Xenopus tropicalis: one gene and its partner. The protein of the gene in region 2 purifies or fractionates together with the protein of the main gene of each other region. This does not show direct contact. Links are inferred from orthologs where the notes say so. Each region holds a gene or a part of one and is shown on either strand. Other genes may lie near its edges. The genes, in order: gart and inpp5k.

Evidence for each region.
Region 1: the proteins of inpp5k (region 2) and gart purify together in Homo sapiens (co-immunoprecipitation; 3 studies listed by BioGRID and IntAct, counting the BioPlex papers as one, with this or other methods). This does not show direct contact. The link is inferred for Xenopus tropicalis from reciprocal best matches to the Homo sapiens genes INPP5K and GART.

Annotation. Positions count from the first base shown.
Region 1 is NC_030678.2:13,995,084-14,005,971, forward strand, and holds part of gart (trifunctional purine biosynthetic protein adenosine-3), read right to left. Parts: intron 7,959-10,888; coding exon 7,863-7,958; intron 7,780-7,862; coding exon 7,605-7,779; intron 7,202-7,604; coding exon 7,090-7,201; intron 6,209-7,089; coding exon 6,140-6,208; intron 5,771-6,139; coding exon 5,645-5,770; intron 5,402-5,644; coding exon 5,314-5,401; intron 4,941-5,313; coding exon 4,855-4,940; intron 4,621-4,854; coding exon 4,452-4,620; intron 3,546-4,451; coding exon 3,314-3,545; intron 1,236-3,313; coding exon 1,141-1,235; intron 144-1,140; coding exon 34-143; intron 1-33. UniProt on the Homo sapiens protein: Trifunctional enzyme that catalyzes three distinct reactions as part of the 'de novo' inosine monophosphate biosynthetic pathway.
Region 2 is NC_030678.2:45,869,129-45,880,016, reverse strand, and holds part of inpp5k (inositol polyphosphate 5-phosphatase K), read right to left. Parts: 5' UTR 10,878-10,888; coding exon 10,845-10,877; intron 10,751-10,844; coding exon 10,634-10,750; intron 9,293-10,633; coding exon 9,117-9,292; intron 8,282-9,116; coding exon 8,170-8,281; intron 6,070-8,169; coding exon 5,960-6,069; intron 4,316-5,959; coding exon 4,123-4,315; intron 2,164-4,122; coding exon 2,026-2,163; intron 1-2,025. UniProt on the Homo sapiens protein: Inositol 5-phosphatase which acts on inositol 1,4,5-trisphosphate, inositol 1,3,4,5-tetrakisphosphate, phosphatidylinositol 4,5-bisphosphate and phosphatidylinositol 3,4,5-trisphosphate.

The DNA of each region.
Region 1 (10,888 bases), about 32 Mb from region 2:
TTTCTGGAGGTGCACATGTAAATCTGGCCTTACCTTCAGTTTTGTGCCAACGCCATCAGTCCCAGAAACCAAGATAGGATCAACGTACCCAGCAGCCTTCAGATCAAACAGGCCAGCAAACCCTCCGAGTTCTGCGTTGCATCCTGCCAGGCGGACATATTGTAACAGTTACCCAAGCACAGCACATATTACTAAAAAAATATCCCCCTGGCAAAGCATTGCCATCTTCACACACACAGAGCATTTGGTGTTGTCAGGATATATTTGGTGTTGAAACAGGGATATATGCCTTTGTGCAGGGCATTACATACACTGTAACACATAGAAGGGGCAGAGCTCAAAAGCTGCAGACCAAATACTAAAAGCTTGAACCAAATAGGCAGGGTTAGGCAACTAACCCAAGGGCCTTCAATTAGGACACCAAAACCTGACCCTTGCATCAGTTCCAGACTCAGTTTGCAGCCTTCGCTAAAGCACAACGTGATCATAAGTAAACTCCAGTACAGATAATACAAAACATGATTTCTCCCCAACCACTTTTATCTGACTGACCCTTGGGCAGGGTTTAGCCCACAAGCAGATCAGGCGAGGGTTGGGTATTAGTAGCTAAAGTAAAGTTTTTTTCAGCTAACAATGTTGGATGACTCCTACAAGGTCATTGATTAATACATGTACCATTCCATTGATGCCTTCCGAGCAATGTAACAGAATAAAGGTCCCTATACACGGATCGATTCTAGCTGCCGATATCGGTCCCTTATTAGACTGATTCGGCAGCTAATCGGCCCGTGTATGGGAACTACTGACGGGCCTGCCCGACCGAAATCTGGCCTGAAATCGGGCAGATATCAATCAGGCAGGTTAAAAAATCTAGTCGGATCGGGGACCGCATTGGCTTGTTGATGCGGTCACCGAACCAACTTTGCCTATGCACGTCGTTCTAATTAGCCTGGATTCTCCCGATATCGCCCACCCGTAGGTGGGGGATATCGGGAGATGTATGGGCATCTTTAGGGAGGAAAAACAACATAACTTTTTTTTATATGGATCCCATAGTTACAGTTATGAAATGTTCTCCAGCAGTGAGTGATTACCCACCTACTATGACCAAGGCAGGACACCAATAATTAGGAGACTTACCTGGTCTGGCAGTGGCTGCAGCCAATGGTTTAATTGCTTTCACTAAACTGTTACCAGCTTCTATATCCACACCACTATCCTTGTATGTCAGGGACCTGGCAGGATAAAGAGGGGAGCATTGTAAGAATGAGGGTGCTGTGAACCCACCCCATGAATAAGACTGATGCAGTGTTCTGAAATGGAAAATAAAAAGATTTCTAGATCTCTATATCAGAGTTATTTAATGTGAAGTAAAGCAGGGGAACTCCCATATCTGATATGCATAGATCATATTAGAGATAGAATGTGATTTAGATATAATGTGACCTAAAAGGCAGATCACTGCTCTACAAAGTCTGAAGCAGAACCTGCGATTAGCAAGGGGTACATTTGCAGCCCAGTGCTGAACCCCAAAGTCGACTGGGAAGAAAACATGCAGAAATCCTATAGCTACATCCCTACAGCAGTGACCAAGCAACTACCTACACATGACTTTGTCACCCCTATTTATTGGTGAGGAATTACATTTGCAGTACTGGGCCTGGTATGACACATCTTCCATGTTATAAACACAGGGGAATAGTACTCTATATAATCATTGCTGGCACTTGGGGGTAGAGATTACACAAGCAGGTGAGTGATATGAAGGATTCAAGGAATTCAGACCTTCCTACTATGCTTGAGACCTACCAAGATCACATACCTAGTAAAGGACATGTAAGCAAGTCTCTAAGTTCTAGTAACCCCAAGAAACCTAATGGCAAGTAACATTAACTGGTTTGCTCTTTGAAAGCATACATCTGATTGGTTAGTAAATGCTGCTGGACCTAACTTTACCCCTATTATTGCATAGTCTTGTTACAGCTTGACGGCAACCACTAGAGATGGGAATTGACTGAAATATGACCAATTCTAGGGCAGGGAATAAAGAGAAGCAAAACAGTCCTGTTCAGTGGCTTCACCTGGCACCAGCAGACTCCATTGAGTGTGTGTGTGTGGGGAGGCCTGGGAAAAAAGGGGTTCCCAGTAAGGGAACTGCCTGTGCCAGTGTTGCTGAAACTTGCATTAGCGGGAAAGGGGCAGTTGGGCAGGTAATGTGGTAACACAATGCAGAGTTGGGGGTGGGGGGGGCAGAAACTGTCATTTACACCACTGGCCCAGCCAAATCACTAGTTCTACAGCTGACTGGTACTGTGTGTTTCCCGACTATGACAAATCCCCCCATTAAAGAGTAATAACCCACGGAGCAAGTTAGTTGCCCGCAATAGATCTCTGCTATCATGCGCGACTAACTGCTCCTAAAAGGCTTTCAAGATATTGACCTTTAATTGAAATTAAGACACATTACACATTTTTTTAGCAAATCAATTTTTTTTTGGTTACAAAGAAATCGTCTTATACACAGCAGGGTGAAAATATGTAACAGACACGAGAGTTGCTGAGACTGAATGACTCAAGGTTACAGCAAATCACACACAGTTCCAGTAACAGGAGACAAAATAAAACAATTATGGGACATTTATCAGCACAGTAAATATAGGAGCCAGTCACAACAATAAGGAAATTACTTTTGGCCTGATTATGGATTGTCATCATTTATCCAAAAACACAAATACCACGACGTGCATTAGATAAGTAACCCATACAATCAGGACATAGTGCCATTTATCTAATGGGGTTTTATAAAAAGACGTCCTCTATTAGGATTTTAACTATTGTTATTTTGTCTCATATTGGGGTTAACATAACCTACAGCTTACTGCAACATGAAAGCTAAATTTGTACAATTAAGAAATGTAAGAGAGTAGAAAGTGTATGTATAGGTATGGGATCCATTATCCAGAAGCCTGTTATCCAGAAAGCACCAGAGAGATGGCAAATAATTCTAATTATTCCTTTCTCCAACTTCCAACTTATAAATTAAAACAATCCTATTGGGTTAATTTAATGTTGCAATCATTTTTAATATATTTAAGGTATGGGGATCCATATTACAAAAATATTCTTTATCCAGAAAACTCCAGTTTGACAGCATTCTGCATAACAGGTCCCATACCTGTACTTGGTTTATGGGCTTGGTGGGTTCTGTGTGCTTTAATTCATTCTATTTAACCTGGTCCAGTTGTATTTCAGACCCAAAGGCTACACAGTTCATGCTACAGACAGTCCTCAGATCAAGTGTTCCGATACACACCTGGATTGATTAAGGTAAGCAATAGCCCGGAAGCCAATGTCCTTTCTATACACAGCTCCTTGAAACTGTATCGCTGCCACCCCCTTGTTAGCCTGGTCTAGAGCCGATACAAGATCCTTCTTGATTGATGTGACAGTTAGAACTCTCCCTCCACTGGTCACCACTTTTCCATCCTTGAGGGCGGTGCCTGCATGGAACACTTCCAGACCCAGCTCTCCAGCCTTTTGGAACCCTGCAGGAAATACACAGATTATTCATCTAATTTCCAAAGAAATTGTAATGTTTAGAACCGGACCTTAACCCCCACAGGTGATAAAAGGGACTACGTTTGCACAGGAGCAATAAGCCATAGCAACCAAAAGTATGTTTGCTTTTAAACAGGTGACCAGTTGATTGGTTGCTGTGGGTTACTGCTCCTGGGCAAACTTAGTGCCTTTTATTTTGTAACCCCAGAAAGAGAGAAGGATATGCAGGGGTTATGTAATAAAAGGCACCAAGTTTGCCCAGGAGCAGCATCCCAAAGAAACCAATCTACAGGAAGTATTTACTGGTCACCTATTTAAAAGCAAACATCTTATTGGCTACTGCTCCTGGGAAAACTTACTGCCTTTTAATACATATGACGGGGACAGAGTGCAGCACCAAAATGCTCTCTGGTAGGTCACAGCCTTCCCCTATGGTACAAGACAAGACAGGGAAAAAGAGGTAGCAGGGGGCTGAATAGATTCCCAGCATTGCCAAGTACTGTACCTTCTTCACCAATCACTGTTTAACATGCGTTCTATGGAGCATAAGGAGCAACCCTAAATTATCTTTTGCACCTTCTAATGCGCTTATAGGGTTGTTACAATAACATGCACAGTCAGTATCTGATTAGATAATTAGTATCTACAGCTCAGTTCAGAATGGAACATAATAAATGTTGTAATGGCTTTTTATTAGTTACAATAAGAGTCAGGCCCTGACTGCCAATCTGTGGGTTCTGGCAAACGCCAGAGGGGCTGCTGTAAGATGCCATAGACACTCACTATTTAATGGGCCTGTGGGGGGGCTGTTTGGGCCTCTGTGTACTTAAAATGCATTGGCCTATTTTGTATCCCAGCCCAGAGCTGACAGACGACACTTATCTAAGACTCACCAGTGATCTCCAACCCCTTGGCATAGTTAGAGGGATAGCCTCCACTGGCCATAACAACTGTAACAGCTGCGTGGTTTTCTAGCCACACTGGCATACAACTGGCCAGTTTGCCATCAATAGTGGCCACAATAACATCATAAAGGTCACTCTGTAGGAGTGGGAGAATCACCTGAATTAAAAAAGAAAAAAAAGAAAAAATTAGAACATGAATAAAGTAATACTGGCAAGAAACAGGAACACAGGAAGAGGCTCCTTATCAGAGAGCACAGTGGGTAATGGATGGAGGGGGGTTAAGGATCTGGCTTCCATATATATTGAGAGACCAGCAAGGAGAGGCTGGATAGGCTCTCCTGATTGTACACATTGTAAATACTTAAAAGAAATAGAACTGTTTAATAATTACCTGGCATTCTGGGTCTCCAAATCTGCAGTTAAACTCAAGTACCTTGGGGCCATCCATAGTGAGCATCAGGCCGGCATAGAGCACACCTGGAAAGAATAAATAATCCCAGTGCTGTCATACTGCTTGCAAACTGGCAATTGTATTATACTGTAAGGATAATAAGGGATATCATCTGTGTGTAACTACTTGTTTCCTATCACACTTTCACTATCACTTCCAGATTGTCAACAAATGAGTTCCCATTTATACCAAGGGCTAATAATATCTTATTGTCAAGGGAAGCAGTATGCATTTAAACAGGAAAAACCTGTTGATGTTATATATAATCGTTGGCCAATTCATTTTGCAGAAAATGTACATATAAGCACTGCCTACTTAACAAGCAATCAGCATTTCTTTATAAACTCCATGACAGCCAATTGCAACTCATGGCACTATTTCAGTTGCACAAACACTTACCGACATACGGTGCACCATCCTGACGGATTCCATTAACGGTTTTCAACAAGACAGTGTCTTGGATTTTCTCCAGAAAATCTTTTGTAATCTAAAAGATAAATATTCTTGTTGTACGGTATTGGTGTAAGCAGAGAAAGGCGTTTGTGGGTCCCAAACTGTGGGGCTAGCCTCCATGGTGGGATCCAATACAGGACGAGGCCTCAGCCTGCAGTAGGATATTAAGTCCTATAAGTAGAGCCTTAAGGAAAACTGGGATGAGTGCTTATTTCCTCTTTGAGGGCTGGACAGAACAACAAACTGACCAATGAGTATAACATCATTTACCACTTACCTGCGGAGCTGGACAATAGGCTCCCATTCCACCCGTGTTAGGGCCAAGGTCACCATCCAACAGTCTTTTATGATCTTGAGCTGGTGGCATTGGAGCAACTGTGACTCCATCTGTGAAACACAAACACTGCAAAAGAAAAACAATATCCCATTGTATCAAGAAAAGTATAAAAGACGGAGGGAACTATATTGCATAATGAAAGAACATATAATTCTAAGCAGTGCAGGGTGGCATTCTTATACATATTTAATATAATTATAAGGCACAGGCACAGCCTGCAGAGCTAAACTCTACAGACCTATCATAGTTCTCTTTTACCAACTGCCCTCACATTGCCGTAACCCAGTGCATATTTAAACAACAATAATATAAGAGAAGCCCTGGCTGGGGCATAAATGGAAGCTGCCTTTTTCATTAGCTGATAAGTGAAAAGTGCAGAAAAAACAACCTAAACAGAATACATATCAGCACAAATGACAAAAACCATCAACCTACAGAGACTTCTTCCCCTTCCAGCAGCTCTTCCACAACCACTGTGTCTCCAGCTTCTCCAAATGCCTTGTCCTGTGATGGAGAATACAAAGGAATTGGGTTTATGGGCAATTGCACATTTATTGAACAGCATGTGTCACCATCTCTCGATTGTGCTTTTACTCTGCTTAGATCTGACTAACAAACTGTATTTTCACACTCTCCTCTGCTGGCTAACTTAATTTTCTGCCAACTTTACCAAACTGAACAACATGTGGTGCTGTTGTTCCATATTCATTATCTTATCTAGTTTACAAAAATACATTGTAAAGTACAAAACTGCAGTGACTAGGACATAGAAAATTCCCAGCAGGCTGTGACCTTCACAATATCACCAATGCTGGCACCAGTGATTGGCCTTAGAATAGTGACCAATAGTTGTTCCCCTTTGAGTATGATGTAGAGAGTAAAATTCTGAGACAATTTTCAATTGGCCTTCATTTCTTTATTATTTTTAGTTTAATTATTTCACTTTTTGTTTAGCAGCTCTCCAGTTTGAAGTTTAGGCGGCTATCTGGTTGCTTGAGTTCAAATTACCTTAGTAACCAGGGAGCGGTCTAAATGAGAGATTGGTATATAAATAGGAAGGGGCCTGGATATAAAAATTAGTTATAAAGATTAACAATAACACTGTAGCCTCACAGAGCAATAGTTTTTGGCTGCTGGGGTCATTTGAAAGCTGCAATGAGTTGGAAGAAGGCGGCAAATAATTTAAAAACTATAAAAAAAAAAAAAAAAATACTGAAGAGCAAATAAAAAGTTGCTTAGAATTGGCCATTCTATAACATGCTACAAGTTAACTTAAAATTACTGAAGTCCAATCCCACATCGTTCCAATGGCGTTTTTGGAATGTTGCGAGTTGCAGGTCCAATGGGTACAGGCCATATTCCCATTGGCCTATTATATAACTCACCTGCATGATCTCATTCACAGCTTTGCAAGCCTCTTCCTTACTGCTGGCCACAATCACTCCCTTGCCCGCTGCCAAGCCACTCGCTTTGACTACCAATGCAGGGAAATCAGCACTACAAAGACAAGATATGAGATGTATTAAATACATCAGAAGTGTGTAGATTAGAAGCTAGACCACTTTAGGAGCAGACAATAGTTGATGGCCTTAGTTTCATAGTGAGAAACCTGGTTCCTTTTTAATTTAATAGAACAAAAGCCCCTTCTGACTGTATGAAGGAAAAAACTGAGCAGCCATTGCCTTTTGCATGCTATGGCCCAGTAGGCAAAATCTGCTCACATCTTCTCTTTATAGATGAGGAATGGCTTCCAATACACATCCATGACCCAAGCACAAACACACAGTTTTGCAAAGGCACCAAGCTTACCATTATTAGCAGTAATTTGAAACTTATTATATACATGCTATGCTCTGAACAGTTTGGGCACCCTCACAGAACACAGTTATCCATAATGTACCTCATAATAAAGCTGCAGGCTTCCTTGGGGTCAGTGAATGATTTCCAGCGGGCAGTTGGGATGTTGTGTCGGTCCATAAATTCTTTGGAAAAACTCTTACTGGCCTCAAGCTGTGCCGCCTTGGCTGTAGGACCGAAACACCTCACTCCGGCTGCAGTCAAATCATCGATAATCCCTGGGGAGAGAGAGAAACAAAGGGGATGAAGGCTTAAATTACTCTCCGAAGGGTGAAGGTGATAATTTGGGCATGTAATTTACCTGCTGCAAGAGGAGCTTCTGGACCAACAACCACTAGGCCAACATGGTTATCTTTGCAGAACTGGGCGAGCTTGGCATGGTCACTGACTGGGGCAGCTGTAACGGAAGAGAAAAAAGAATCAGAAAGCTCCGCAATCAGCAAGTTATTTTAACATGATGCCCACTGATTGAGAACCGACTCCTGTCTGAACATACGGCAATATGAACAAAGTCACTTTAATCTCTAATGCAACAGAACTAACTGTCCCCTCTAGGCAGGGCACTCACCCCAAATCTCCCCCTAACTGGCCTTCAGGCTGGGCCCCCTTAGCCCATAACAAGGTTACAGATATATAGAAACATTGGGGTAACAGTCACCCTGCTATAGTTCCAGGGGTACCCAGGGCACAAATAAGCACTCACCCCAAATCTCCCTCTAACTGGCCTTCAGGCTGGGCCCCCTTAGCCCATAACAAGGTTACAGATATATAGAAACATTGGGGTAACAGCCATTCAACAAAAGTTGTCTCCAGTTGCACTAATAGCTTATCAAATAGGTACTACTTGCTATCCCTCAGCACCCATCCTTCCTGCCCCCTCCCCATAGAAAGCTCTGCTTAGGGCTGCACATTATAAATGTCGGTGCAGTCGGAACTGGTGTCACAAGACAACTTATGAATGAACTTGTGATCAGCACTTCGGGCTCCTGACATGGACCCAATTGCCAATGAGGATGCACGGTAATTGGTGAATATTACTAAGGAAGTGGCAGTAGGAGGACTAAGGGTGTGAGTGAGAGCAAAAGCTCACTACAGATAAAGTCATTGTTCTTATGGAATTTCTAATTCAAAAGAAAACACATCTGCGTTCGGTTTCCAGCTACAATTAACTAACCTAAAATTAGGTGCTCTCCACATGATCAGAATTTGTATTTATGTTTGATGTATAAACACTCTCCTGTGGAATATGTGGCACATGATAAATATTATGGTTATTAATAGTATTATCATTGCAAATGGATGAACAGGGATACAATTACTGAGCTGTCTAATCAGACAGCAGGGTTGGACTGGGGTGTCCAAGGCCCGCCAGAAGTGTGACTTTAAGGGGCCCTTGGTGTGATCTGAAGGGCTCTCCTCCCAAGCTAACTATAAAGTTATCTGCCCTTTTATGGGGCCCTACAGTTGGGACTAACTAACTGATATCTGGCCAACAATCGGGCAGGTTAATTTTTCCACTGGACTGAGGAACACATTGGCTCATTAACTTTGTCCTCTCCCCTATGGCCTGTATCTCTGTCATTATGATCCAATTAAGCCCGATATTGCCCACATCAGGAAAAAGATCTGCTCGTTTTGAAACCTTGCTAAACAAGATCAGCCAGCTTTAGGCAGAGGTTGCATTTGACATCCATAATGCTACAAATGGCTACAGTCAGGGCAACAAAAAGAGCTCAGCCGCTTTACTTCTGCTTGCCCCGTGCCAGTGTTTAGTGGGACTCCATGTCCAGTTCTGCTGCATGTAGGGAAACTGAATGAATGAATAAATAAATACCAGCAGTTCTGGTGAGGATTTGGAAAGCAATGCCACCAAATACTAAATGCATCATGACTGCAGGCAATAATTACAGCTGCACGGAGCACTCAACATGCAGCCCCAGCCAAAAACGTTGGTCTGCTCCTATTGGTACCCTATATAATCTTTATCATAATCAGGGGGCTAATTACTATTACAGTAAACAGAAACAGATTTTACATCTATATCCAGCAACTAACGATTAGGTATTATGCAGTAACATGGGTAAAATTTCCAGTAACCAATAAGCAGTTAGTTTGCACCTGCCGAGTGCTTCAGAATAAAGAAATATAAAATAATGTCGTTACCAGAGGGGCAAACCCTGCCCAAGTTACTTCCTAACCACAAGGCTATTTATACCAGTGACATTAAAGTCTCCATTAGAAATAGGAGTCATGATCAGTAGTGCGGCCAGGCCTGTTTCTTGCAGGATGGCAAGGCAACCTTAATTTCTTTCTGTACTAGGGCTCTTACTACTCATTGGGGGGAATTCACAAAAGTGATGATATTAAGACAAAATAAAAGTGGAGATAGATTTGTTGGATTTACCACCTAATTCACAAACCTATGTCTCCACTTTTGGGAATTTGTCTTTTAAACAGACAGTTTTCAGATTTTTCAGTCATTTTACCGACATATTTTTATGAATTTGCCTTTGGCTCTTGGTAAATCTGTCAGTGCCATTAAATCCAGTCCCAATTTTGGGAATTTGATTAGGATATATGGAAAGAATTTACACTGGGGAGCTGATAGGAGAGTAATGGAGATATTCTCTGAGCCGTATAATAGTGCCCAGCTGGTATAGAATACAGGAGATTACAGCTGTGAGCACTATCTGTTATCCCCTGCTGGTATATGGTACAGGAGATTCAGCCTACTTCTATGCATTATCAGTAACTCTTCAGCCAGTATATAGTTCAGCAGGGGGGTACACTAACCATTTAGCTGTTTTGTCTAGACAACGGGCCCAGTATTGAGTATGTTGCAGACTACACTGATTTCCAACGCTGCTTACTATAGCAATTACATTTCCAAATAACTTTTAAAGCACTAATCATTTTTAATAAATTCACATTGGAAAGTTGCTTGGAATTATGTTTTCTTTTATTAAGCAAAAATTATTTGTCGGGGTTGACACGTCCTTTACAAATATATTAGAAGACCTCCTTTTTAGAGTGCCACCTTGAATTACTTAGCATGGCCATATCTTCCCTCCCCCAGTTATACTATACTACACTAGCTCATACTGTGCTAATTAAACATAATGCTTTATTCTTTTTGCATGATGGCACGTGGAAAACTGAGCAGCATTTTCACCCAGAGATCTCAATATGACCCTTAAGCTAACTACATTATTCAGCATCTTTTGTAACCCTAAAGTTAAAGACATTGAGGCTCACTTATCAGCTTTCTCAGAGAATGTTGATAAATGGAGGATTCATCCCCCTAGTTATATAGGTGTTGGTGCAAGG
Region 2 (10,888 bases):
TTCTGATAATAGAGGTGGGCTATCATATGCATTACATATTATTGCATTATCCCATATTTGATGACAGAATTTCATTACTGCTGTATATAGGTTAAAACATGAGAAAGATAACAAATTGTTTTGACAAGATCAATGTTATTCTTGTATTATATGAAATATGAGTTTGGATCGCATTATAAATATCTTTTAAAAGCTAAAAGTGGAAAGAACTAACATATCTTATCTGGGAAAAGACAATTCAAGGAACTGCACTTTCTGGAATATGCCGTGCACTATGGTGAAATGCAAAAATGCTAAGTATTTAAGGGAAGGAGCATTGCTATCTAATAACTGGTTTCCTGCCCTGTGAGATAACAAATCATTATGGCAGTTCGATATTCTCTGTTTGGGTTATATTTAGTGTGTGGGAATGCTGCAGCATGATTACAATCTGTTCAGTCAGTATCAGTCATAAAAAAGTCACTTAGGAGCTGATTTACTAACATTTGGAAAATCCTTTAACAAAACAATCTTTTTCAGTGCTGTCACTGTGATAAAAGAATAATTGAGAGCATAGTGGTTCCACTGAACTTTTACGGTAAGGCTCCAGAAGGCAGATTCGCTGGTACGCTTAAAAATTCTTCTTGTTGTGCCTGTACCCAGAAGCACTGAATGTGCTCGGGTGCAGGCACGCAGCCAAACTCCATCAACTAACGCAGGCGGATAGCGGCTACATGTGCCTGCACCTGGGCGGATTCAGTATTTCCGGGTGCAGAAACAATTAGAAGATTTTTCAAGCATACAGGCGCACTGTCAGCCTGCTCTTATACACAGGCTGACAATTCCTTGTGGCACCCTATCCTTATTCTCTACATACTTGTAGATATAATTGGGAGCTATGGACCTAAGAATTGGCTTTCTTTAAACTTCAAGTAACACAGAAGCTTTGTAGTTTTCTACATACTTACATTAACAAAAGCTGGTTGCACATTGCTGAGGTAGCCAAATGACAAAATCTTTCCCAGATTTACCCATCTTGACCAAGGGCCAAACAATTAACTAACCTGCCTGATCAATATCTAGCTGACTTTTGGCCAGATTTTAGTCGAGCAGGCCCATCAGAGGACTTCATACAAGGGCAGATAATCTGACAACTCAGTCCGAAGGGGCTGAATCAACAATTTAAATCTGTCACCTTAAAGGAGAAGAAAGTCATTTTGGCATTTTGCTGCCAAAAGATTCACCAAATCAGTGCCACCTAGAACACTATATTTATTATTCAGAAAGCTTTACCATACCCGAGTAAAGAGCCCTAGAAGCTTTCTCTGTTTGCTTAAGATTGCAACTGCCATTTTAGCTTGGTCTTTATAGCTTCCTGCTGTATAGCTCAAGCCATTATAGCTCAGATCACATATTTTAAGGGAGGGGGGAGGGAGTTCTCAGAAGAGAACTAGGCAGACTCTGGCCACAGTAATGAAGGATTTATCTGAGAGAGGAAGTCAGATACCCAAAGAACATGTTTACAAAAAAGGAGAAAAGAAAATGTATGTTTCTTTCGATAGAGTGCAGCATTTCTGTGAGTGCTTATGGCTGTATTTACATAGACCTTTCTGATAAAGCTTACTTAGTTTTCAACTTTCCTTCTCCTTTAGGATCAATTTATTAATTGGATTTAAATGCAGGTTTATATTTATACAGTATTTTCCATAAAGATACACCTATAAAGGCAATGTCGCTGGTTTTGCCATGTAATGAATAATAGCTCCAAGGGCAGGGAAACCTGAAATAGCTCCCCATTTACAAACATTGAGTTTGGTATTTGTGATAAAGGGACGGTTCATCCCCCTGAAAAATTATTCCCATCTGTCTGTGGCTCTAATAAACACTCTAATTGCCTGTTTTACTAAAAATATTATGTGCATTCTCAGTTGCAACATGTGAGGCTGTTATGAGATCTATAGGTTTCCTAGGGCACCAGCAGCACCACAGGTGCTAAGCAAGGAAATGACAGTAATTCAATGCATGTGAGAAAGCAGGAAAACATACCCTATAAAGTCCAATCCAATCCCAGGTGCTGCTGGGAAAGTCTTTTGCCACAGAATAGCTTATTAAGGAATCATGGTCTGCGTTCCATTCTCCTTCGGGTTTCAGTGTAACAGAAGGTGAAAGAATGAGGGGCTTCAACTATAGAAACAAACAAAACTTGAATTGAGGCTGTTAGTGATCTGTAAAAAATTACCGAGTTATAGGGGCAGCTCACCCTTACAGAACTTGTTTTCAAAGAGTACATGACAAATAACAGCCTTTTTTCAGTTCACTTTCTATTTATTTTGAATGTAGTTTAAAGGAGAAGGAAAGGCTAAGTCACTTGGGGGTGCCAAAATGTTAGGCACCCCCAAGTGACTTAAATCGCTTACCTTGTACCCCGGGTAGCTGCGAGCAATTCCTTCTTCATGTTTTGCGTGCTTGCGCATGCGCAGTAGAGTGAAATGCTGAACTTTAACAAGAAATTTGGCTTTTCACTCTACTGCGCATGCGCCGGCCCAGGAGTTTCACCGGCAGGAGGAAGCGCTCGCTACAGGTACCCCGGGCTGGTGCTGTTTTCTCCTAATAGGGGTGCCAGCCCGGGGTACAAAGTAAGCGATTTAAGTCACTTGGGGTGCCTAACATTTTGGCACCCCCAAGTGACTTAGCCTTTCCTTCTCCTTTAATGTAAACTCAAATTAATTCACTTCCCTTTCATAGAAACTCTGTAACCTATATGACGACTTTATAATCAGTTAAAATTTTATTCTTTATTCCAGCGCTGCCCAATGTAGTGGGCAAATTAGATTTTTGCGTGAGGGTCAGATTATATTAATATGGGGATGTCAAACAGGGACAATAACAATACCTTGGAGGACCTCTAGTTGCACAGCCCTGCATTTAATACATTTCAAAGCAATATAAGAGATATGCCAGCAACTAGTGTATCAAACAGTGACAGTTGTGACATAACGCAGGCTAAATACGGAGTGAAGCTGCAGCTGCCAAAACATGTATCAACAGTGGTGTAACTACATAAACAGCAGACCCTGTGGGTGGAGGGACTGTTCACGCCAGGCCCCCTCCAAAGATTTTTTTTGTGGGGGGCCTGGCCCTGTCAACTAGCATATCAAATTGTAGCAGGGTTAGACAGCGTTCTAGCTTACTGAGCAACATTAGAGGGCTGGAGGGTATAAACCAAATTCATTTTTTAATCTGTAACTTTTACAAAAAAACAGGAAAATAGAAAGCAATTGCAAATAGTTATTATTTGCACTGTACTATTTGAAAAAGATACGTTTTGAGAATGTGAACCTAAATACTATGTTAAATGCAGTCAATGTAACCATGAAGGAAACAAAAGGTGGGGCTAGCTATAAGCACAGGTACATTTCCCTACGTATAATGTGGCAATACATACCTCGAATCTTGTTAGTTGATTGTTTATATTAGAGAACAAAAATCCTGTTAAGAGTACAGAGCACACACACACGTAACACTGGCAATATCTGTATCAGAGTTAATATTTAAAGAAGAACTAAACCCCAAGAACGAGAAATGCACAGGAGTTCCAAATACTAGATTATGCTAGCAGTGTCAGTGACACTCACATGCTCAGTGTGCTCTGGGCAGCTGTTGAGAAGCTAAACTTAGGGATTGTTGCGAATTATTAAGAAGATAAAATTAAGTTGGCCAATAATATAAGATGATGCTACAGGGCTGATTATTGAATTCTGATGTTAATTGCACTTAGCTGCCATGTAATGAGAATCTGAATTAAAGACTAATCAGCCTTGTACTGGATATATAGAACACAAAGTCACAATACAGTACATTTTGAGCCGGTCCCTAAACTCAGGTAACTGACAGCATAATTGAGCATGTGCAGTGAATCAGCAGAAAAGAAGATGGGGTGCCACTGGGGGCACAGATCATCACTGCTAAAGGGCTGCGATTGCCTGGCACAGAACCCTAAAACATAATGTTCAAATTTCTACCCTACTTTTTTTGTTAAGCATCAGTTCCCCTTTGAACTAAACAAAGTATGGTAATTTCTTTTTATTAAATAAATTCTATGAATATTTTCTTTTCGAGGTCAATGAGCACTATGCAGTGTACCTGCAGGGTGAAGGTCCCAGTTACTGGTTTGTGGTCACTGATCCCATAACTCATGTGACTTGTGTATTTATCCAAACGGACTTTTAAAAACTGTTCAAAGTCCAAACCGGTTGTTTCACCAGGATCACTGTCCGAAACATCCTTCAACTTCCAAAGAATGCGATCTGTCCATGCAGGTTTACGTTTCTTGCTGCTACAATGTTGAACAAAAACACAGCAATTGGCATGGAAAATAAGCCAGCACTATGTGGTGCTATGCTGCACTTCCTACATTCTAGGTGATGGATTATTTTAAGCGTTCCACGTGTTTTACAGCCAGAAACATTAGGGAGGGTGTTAATCATGTTCAACAAAGAAGCAATTTCAATTCAAACAGACTTTAAGATGGGGATACATTATAAGCAAAATATGTAACTTCATACAAAGTGTCAATACCTAAACCCCCTTCTCCTACCAAGCCTATAACTTATTTCCCTCTCTGCTTAACCTTTGGCTTTTAGTCTTCTCCACTTATCACCAATTGCTACTTCTACTTACCTATTTGCCCACTACATTACTGGTGTTTTTTTGCTAACACACTTTCCTTTGGCTTCCTACCCACTTCATTTTCTCGTTCACTAGTCACATCTGCATATCCACTTGTTTTGGTAATTTTGCTTTCCTTTACCACACATATACCATTACCAACATTCCTTTTATTTTCACCTACTGTTCACCTCCTTTTTAAGATCCCACATTGCGCTTGCAATTGACTCCAAATGTTTTTGGTGCCAACCTACTGTACTGTGCCCATATTTATTTATTGCTGTTCACCCCTCCTTAGTTAACATTTTTTCTTTCATTTAAGGATCATTTGTCTTCACCCTTCCAGCTTCTCCCCATCTTCCTTTCTCTGAAAATTATATCTGTATAGTATTATGAGATATTAGAATCTTTTAATGTTCATAAAATTCAGTAACCACCACACTGCTCTAACACCTTCCCCCTCATAATAGAACTGAAAATAAACATTAATGTTATTTTTTTTAGTTTTATAAACATCTTTGATTGGCTTATAACGCTAATGTATAGATGGAAATGGAAACTAATGAAGACAAGATTATATAGCAAGTCAAATATCTGCTGTCATGAAACAAAAAGAGTGTGTCATTTTAAATTTTATATCAAATACCCAATAAAACCATACAATAACATTTTGATAACTTTCTTCTATGCTTTTACAATATTTAGAGTTTATTTTTTGTAGCGACCACCACAAACAGGTCCCATCCACTAGAAAGCAGAGTAAAATTATCTCTTAACTCAGTTCTAAATGACTAATGCCTCTTCCCAAAAAATTAAATACGTTCATCCAAATGCTGATTCACAAATAATATGAAAAATAATAATTTGTATAGTAGTAACAAATAATAAAAGCACAGATCATGATAGCTTTCCGGCTGTATCATAAGATTATATGGGGATACCATCTATTTAGGTGTGGGTTAATATGGACAACACTCCAAATGTTTCAGTCCTGGAGATATTTAGCAAGCTGAAGTATTTCGCTCTTAGTTTGTGCATATTTGAGCCAGCAAACTAAGGCAACAGGTTTGACATGATGTTATTAGGTTTTCTAGAGAAATCATGTAGGAATACTGCATTACATTTGAGTATTTCTACTGATAACTCATTTAGTATAGTCTACTACTGGTTTTAGTTTGAGACAAGGGATATTTTTTAATCTTACTTAAGTCCAAACAGTGACTTTCTCCATCTGGAAACAAAGCAAAGAGATGAATATAAAGCACAACGGGGTGAAGGCCATACTGTCTTACATTGGGATATGTGTTTGTACCTGGTATCATATACATCAGAATTCTGGTCAAACTTATACGTGGGTTTAAACTTTAGTGGTCCTTCCAGAAATCCTTGCAGGAAAGGTTCTTTCTTCTTAGCAATATTTAACTGTTAATTGGAAGAAAAAACAAAGCACAAACCATATTAAAGAGTATTGAAATGATGTTTTGGAGGAGTTATTACATGACTGGGTACCAAATTTCAAAGAACAGGCTATAATGAATTTGCAACCATAAAGAGTTAATCTCAAGCTGCAGGCATACCTTCAGTTCTCTCAATAGTGCCCTTAAGTCTCCCCATATTTCACCTGTTCAGATGATCAGAAGCCAAACAGGAAGAAAAAACGCTGAGCTGTGTAAAGAAAGTTCCCATAATGCCTCGCTCCTGCACTGAGACCCAGACCGGTGCACATGCTCAGTTAGTTAGACTATGAGGAAGCTTCCTGCTGATTGGCTCAGATCCACATTCATAAGTGAGTTCATAGCATTCTTGAGGGAGGGGGGAGCAGGAGAGGGGAGAGAGGAGAGAGCTGCGTGTCTCTGGCACAGGAAACCAGACACAACAAATCTTTTGACAGAGAACTCTATGTTTCTTTCGATAAAGTGCAGCGTTTCTTTGAGTGCTTATGGCTGTACTTACATAGACCTTTCTAATAAAGCACCACAGATGCATTTAAAGGAGTGTGCATTCCACATTCAGACCAGTAATATAAAAGCATAAACATAATTCTCATCTCTACAAATACAATGCTCTCCAATTTGAACTCAAACCTTATGTGTATGCTGCAAAATACAGAGTCATTAGTAATTTCTTAATTAAAGGGGTTGTTCACCTTCAATGTCCAAATTTTATTAACAATGCACTCAGCGTGTAAAAACAAGTAAAGGCCACTGTAAAAACTACTTTTATACCTGTTAAATCAGTCCTTTTCTGTCTCTCTGATCAGTTTTTGTAAGGGATGGGAATGGCCTATTTTGAACCTGGCACACTAAGAACTTCCTATATGCTTACAACATCACATTCAGGCTTTGCCATTACTTTTTTCCTTCTGGACCAATTCACTGGCTACTTGTGCACTCTAACCAGTTGCATAAATTGAAAAGTCATTGGTTGCAAAGGCATAGGCAAACAGACTCAGCATATCACAAATCTAATATAATGTTATGTTAGGTTTGCAGTACTCAGTACAAATTAAGTCTGCTGCCAGTACTATGCGTAACATCAGGAAGAAAAACAAGCGGCTGTAGTGTTTAGGGGTTCACTGCCCCTCCCCACAACCCTCCAGCACAGGGTCTGTGCAGAATTGACGGATCAGCAGAAGGATGATTCTGAGGTGAATATCTCTTCAGCTGCACATTTTTTGTTAACTGTGTATAAAGCAAAGATGGCTCTATTAATGTTAAATTTGTGAATGTACTACAAAGGTGAATAACTCCTTTAATTAACAAATGTCTTTCTCCATGGGACCATATTTATTGAAAATTTGCCACAACAATAACAATTTACTAAAAGGAGAGCACACATGAGTATGAGAAGTAACTTCACATTGGTGAAAATTCTATTCACATACACAATTTTTTTTTTTATTTACAACTGATGCAATTTTTAAATTTTTCTCAAATATAAGTTTGTTGGGTTCAATTCAACTTATTTATAATATTGTTAAGAAGATTAGGCTACTGCCACACCATGCCGAAAAACGCTTGCCGAAAATATGCGCCATAAGCTCCTACCTGTGCCTGCACCCGAATGAATGGAATAAAGTCAGGTGCAGGCACATGTAGCCGAAATATGCATAAAAAACGCAACACTTTGCATTGCGTTTTGATGTGGATTTCAGCTATATGTGCCTGCACCCAAGCGTATTCCATACATTCGGGTGCAGGCACAGGTAGGAGCATATGGCGCAAATTTTCGGCAAGCGTTTTTCGGCTTGCCCAAAATATACGCCATACACATGGTGTGGCAGTAGCCTTAGAGAGCTGAAAATGATTTTCCTACTGAGGCACAGTATCCCATTTTGTGTGTATGACTATACTTTTGTTTATACTGTTGTGTGACAATAAATGCACATTTATAAAAACAAAGTTTCTTAATTGAAACTGAGCTTATTACACAAAAAGAATTAGGAAGTCGACACAAAAAATTAAGCATGATTAAATGCTAGACACCAGTGAAATTAGACGAGCGGTCTGTAAGTTAGCATACCTGGTCTTTCTCCCACAGCAGGTTGTATTTATTACTGTTTATCGCTTCTCTAATAAAGTGGATCCCAAAGTCTGTAATCCGGAAGTTTAGGTCTCCAAAGCAAAACACGAGACTTTAGAGTAACATAAACAAACATAAATGCCATTAGAATTTGCCCCTGTCCAAGAAGCACTTCTCATCGTTGGAAATAACATATTGATACAGTTAATACATCTAGGGCTTAGTAATACACAAACGCTATCACAAAAAATACATTTTTTTAAAAAGTTGCTAGTGGGATAGAAAGATGCCTAAGCCTATACTAAAACCGCATTACTGGAGAAACCACAATTTACAACAAATCAGCCCCAAGTTTATTAAAGGGGACCTGTCACCCAGACATAAAAAGCTGTATAATTAAAATCCTTTTCAAATTAAACATAAAACCCAAAATTTTTTTTGTATTACAACATTTATACCTGTTATAAAATGATTTAAAAATCTGTCAATCACATATTACTTGCCCACCTCTATGCTTTGTGTAGGGCAGGCAGTTACTTTCATTTTCTATTCAGCACTTCCTAGATGTCACTACACTCCTCTTATTGCCCCTCCCTCTACACTGTCTATACTTGTGTAGCCTGTGCATGAACATCAGGTGCTGCATTCTGGTGCATAAACAAGATTTTTAGATAATCTAAAGGCTGCTTGCTGTAATTGCGATTTTCAAGACTGAAAGAAACAAAGTTTATATATTTTACATAGTGTAGGTAAAGTTCATTTTGCCCGACTAGCACAATAGAAAAGAACTTGGAATTATCTCTTATGGTGACAGGTCCCTTTTAACCCAGTGCTTTCTATTTCAAACAGCAGATTAATAAAAGTTCCCTGTTGATTGGTTGCTATAGGTTACTAGACCTGGAGAACACACTGCACTTAACTTTATTCATTTCTTTACCAGAACTTACTCATGGTCTAGAATATTTCCAGTATTATCGTCATCAAATTGCTGAGTGTCCAGCATCCTTTCAAAATCATCGAGCCTCTGGTTGGTGTTTTCCATGTGTGCTGGCAAATGGCAGTTCATGAAGCAAACCATGTGCCCATACACCGACATACGGACTATAACGCCCCCTTTGTTTCCCTTTCATGGGAGAAAGCAGAGTATGAAAGATGTATGCCTTCTTTATGTTAAAATAAAATATTGACACTGAAAATTTTATTCAAACAAGCAAAATTTTTAACTGTCAATATTTTTGCCTAATGAAGCCCTTTTAAGGGAGAAATGTATAGCAGCAACGTATATTACATAAAAGACACTTTAACTATTATAAGAAACACTGCACAATCTCCAAAAATCTCTAACAATCTCCAGTACACCAACTAGTGAGTCACTTTGGTGAAACACACAGAAAGGAAGAGGCGGAATGCATCTTTAAGTGGGGAGAGAGCTGAGATCCAGCATAGTGGGGATTAGGGGTGACTAGGAGGAGCGGTCTATTGCTACAACAGGACTGCCACTGTGGTGAGACCGTTGATTGCTTGGGACAAACATAAGGGAGAGGGTTGGCACTTGAATAAGGTGCCACAATAGCCAATGTGCAGGGCTCGTTGTGGGTGGACATTGTAAGTCGGGGGGGCTGCCATTCCCAAGTAGTGCTTGTTACCCCCCTCTGATTGTTTATTTCTCTCTCTGCTCGCCCCCTCCTCTGATCGTTCACCTTTCTCTGCTTGCCCCCCCCCTCTGATTGTTCATCTCTCTCTGCTCGTTTCCCCCTCTCTCTGATCATTTATATCTCTCTGCTTGTTCCCCACCCCCTCTGATCTATTGCTTTATGCATTTAAAGTATATTGTTTTAGCTTACTGATCTGGCAGCAGCACCACCAAAATTATGTAGTTAGGGAACAGAGACAGAGGGAGGCAATTGGGAGGGGCTTCCCCTGCTACTGCTGAGTTCAGCCTGTCAATCAGTGCTGTGACCACTTCCTGTGGTCACAGGAGGTAAAATGCTTTCAAAACATAGTCAATTTTTCTGCATCATTACACATTTTAAAGGGAGGATGAATAAGTATAACTGAATATGAATATTATATAAAATGTCTCCTTTAAGTACTAACAAAACATGCACTTCCGCCCCCTTCTTTCCCTGCTCGTTATCAGGAGAGGGGTGGGAGAAGGCAGTTCTTCACTGCTATAGAGAAAGCAGACCCAGTAGTCTGAGCCCCACTGCTCCCCCGCAGGGTCTGCTTCCTCTACAGTTATGCCACCGACTAGTTATGACTACTGCTCTGTGTGTCTCTCTACTATTTTATCCACTAGATGAAAAAAGAGTTGGAAAAATATCAAATGAAGGTATCTTCAGCACACTTCTAGTTGGTATTCAACTACAATCCTAGCAGGTCTAGTACACACACACATATATATCTCAAAATGCAAGTAAAATCCCAGAAAATTCTTTCTGTTCTGACCATCAAGAATGCTTACCCAGTAGCCAAACAAGCCAGTGCGAATGTAATTGGTACGAATGTCCTGTATGAAGGGAATATGTTGATGCTTTACAAAGGTCAGGAGAAGGAGGCCCTGCAGTCGGATAGAGGAGAGCTAAAAAAAACAAGCCAAAGAAACATTACATTTTACCTTTCAGCAAATCCATGTAGTGATTTACATAAACATGCCATAACCATAAATATACTACCTTGACATAGCCGAGGGGAGCTAAAATATCCATAAGATAGATAC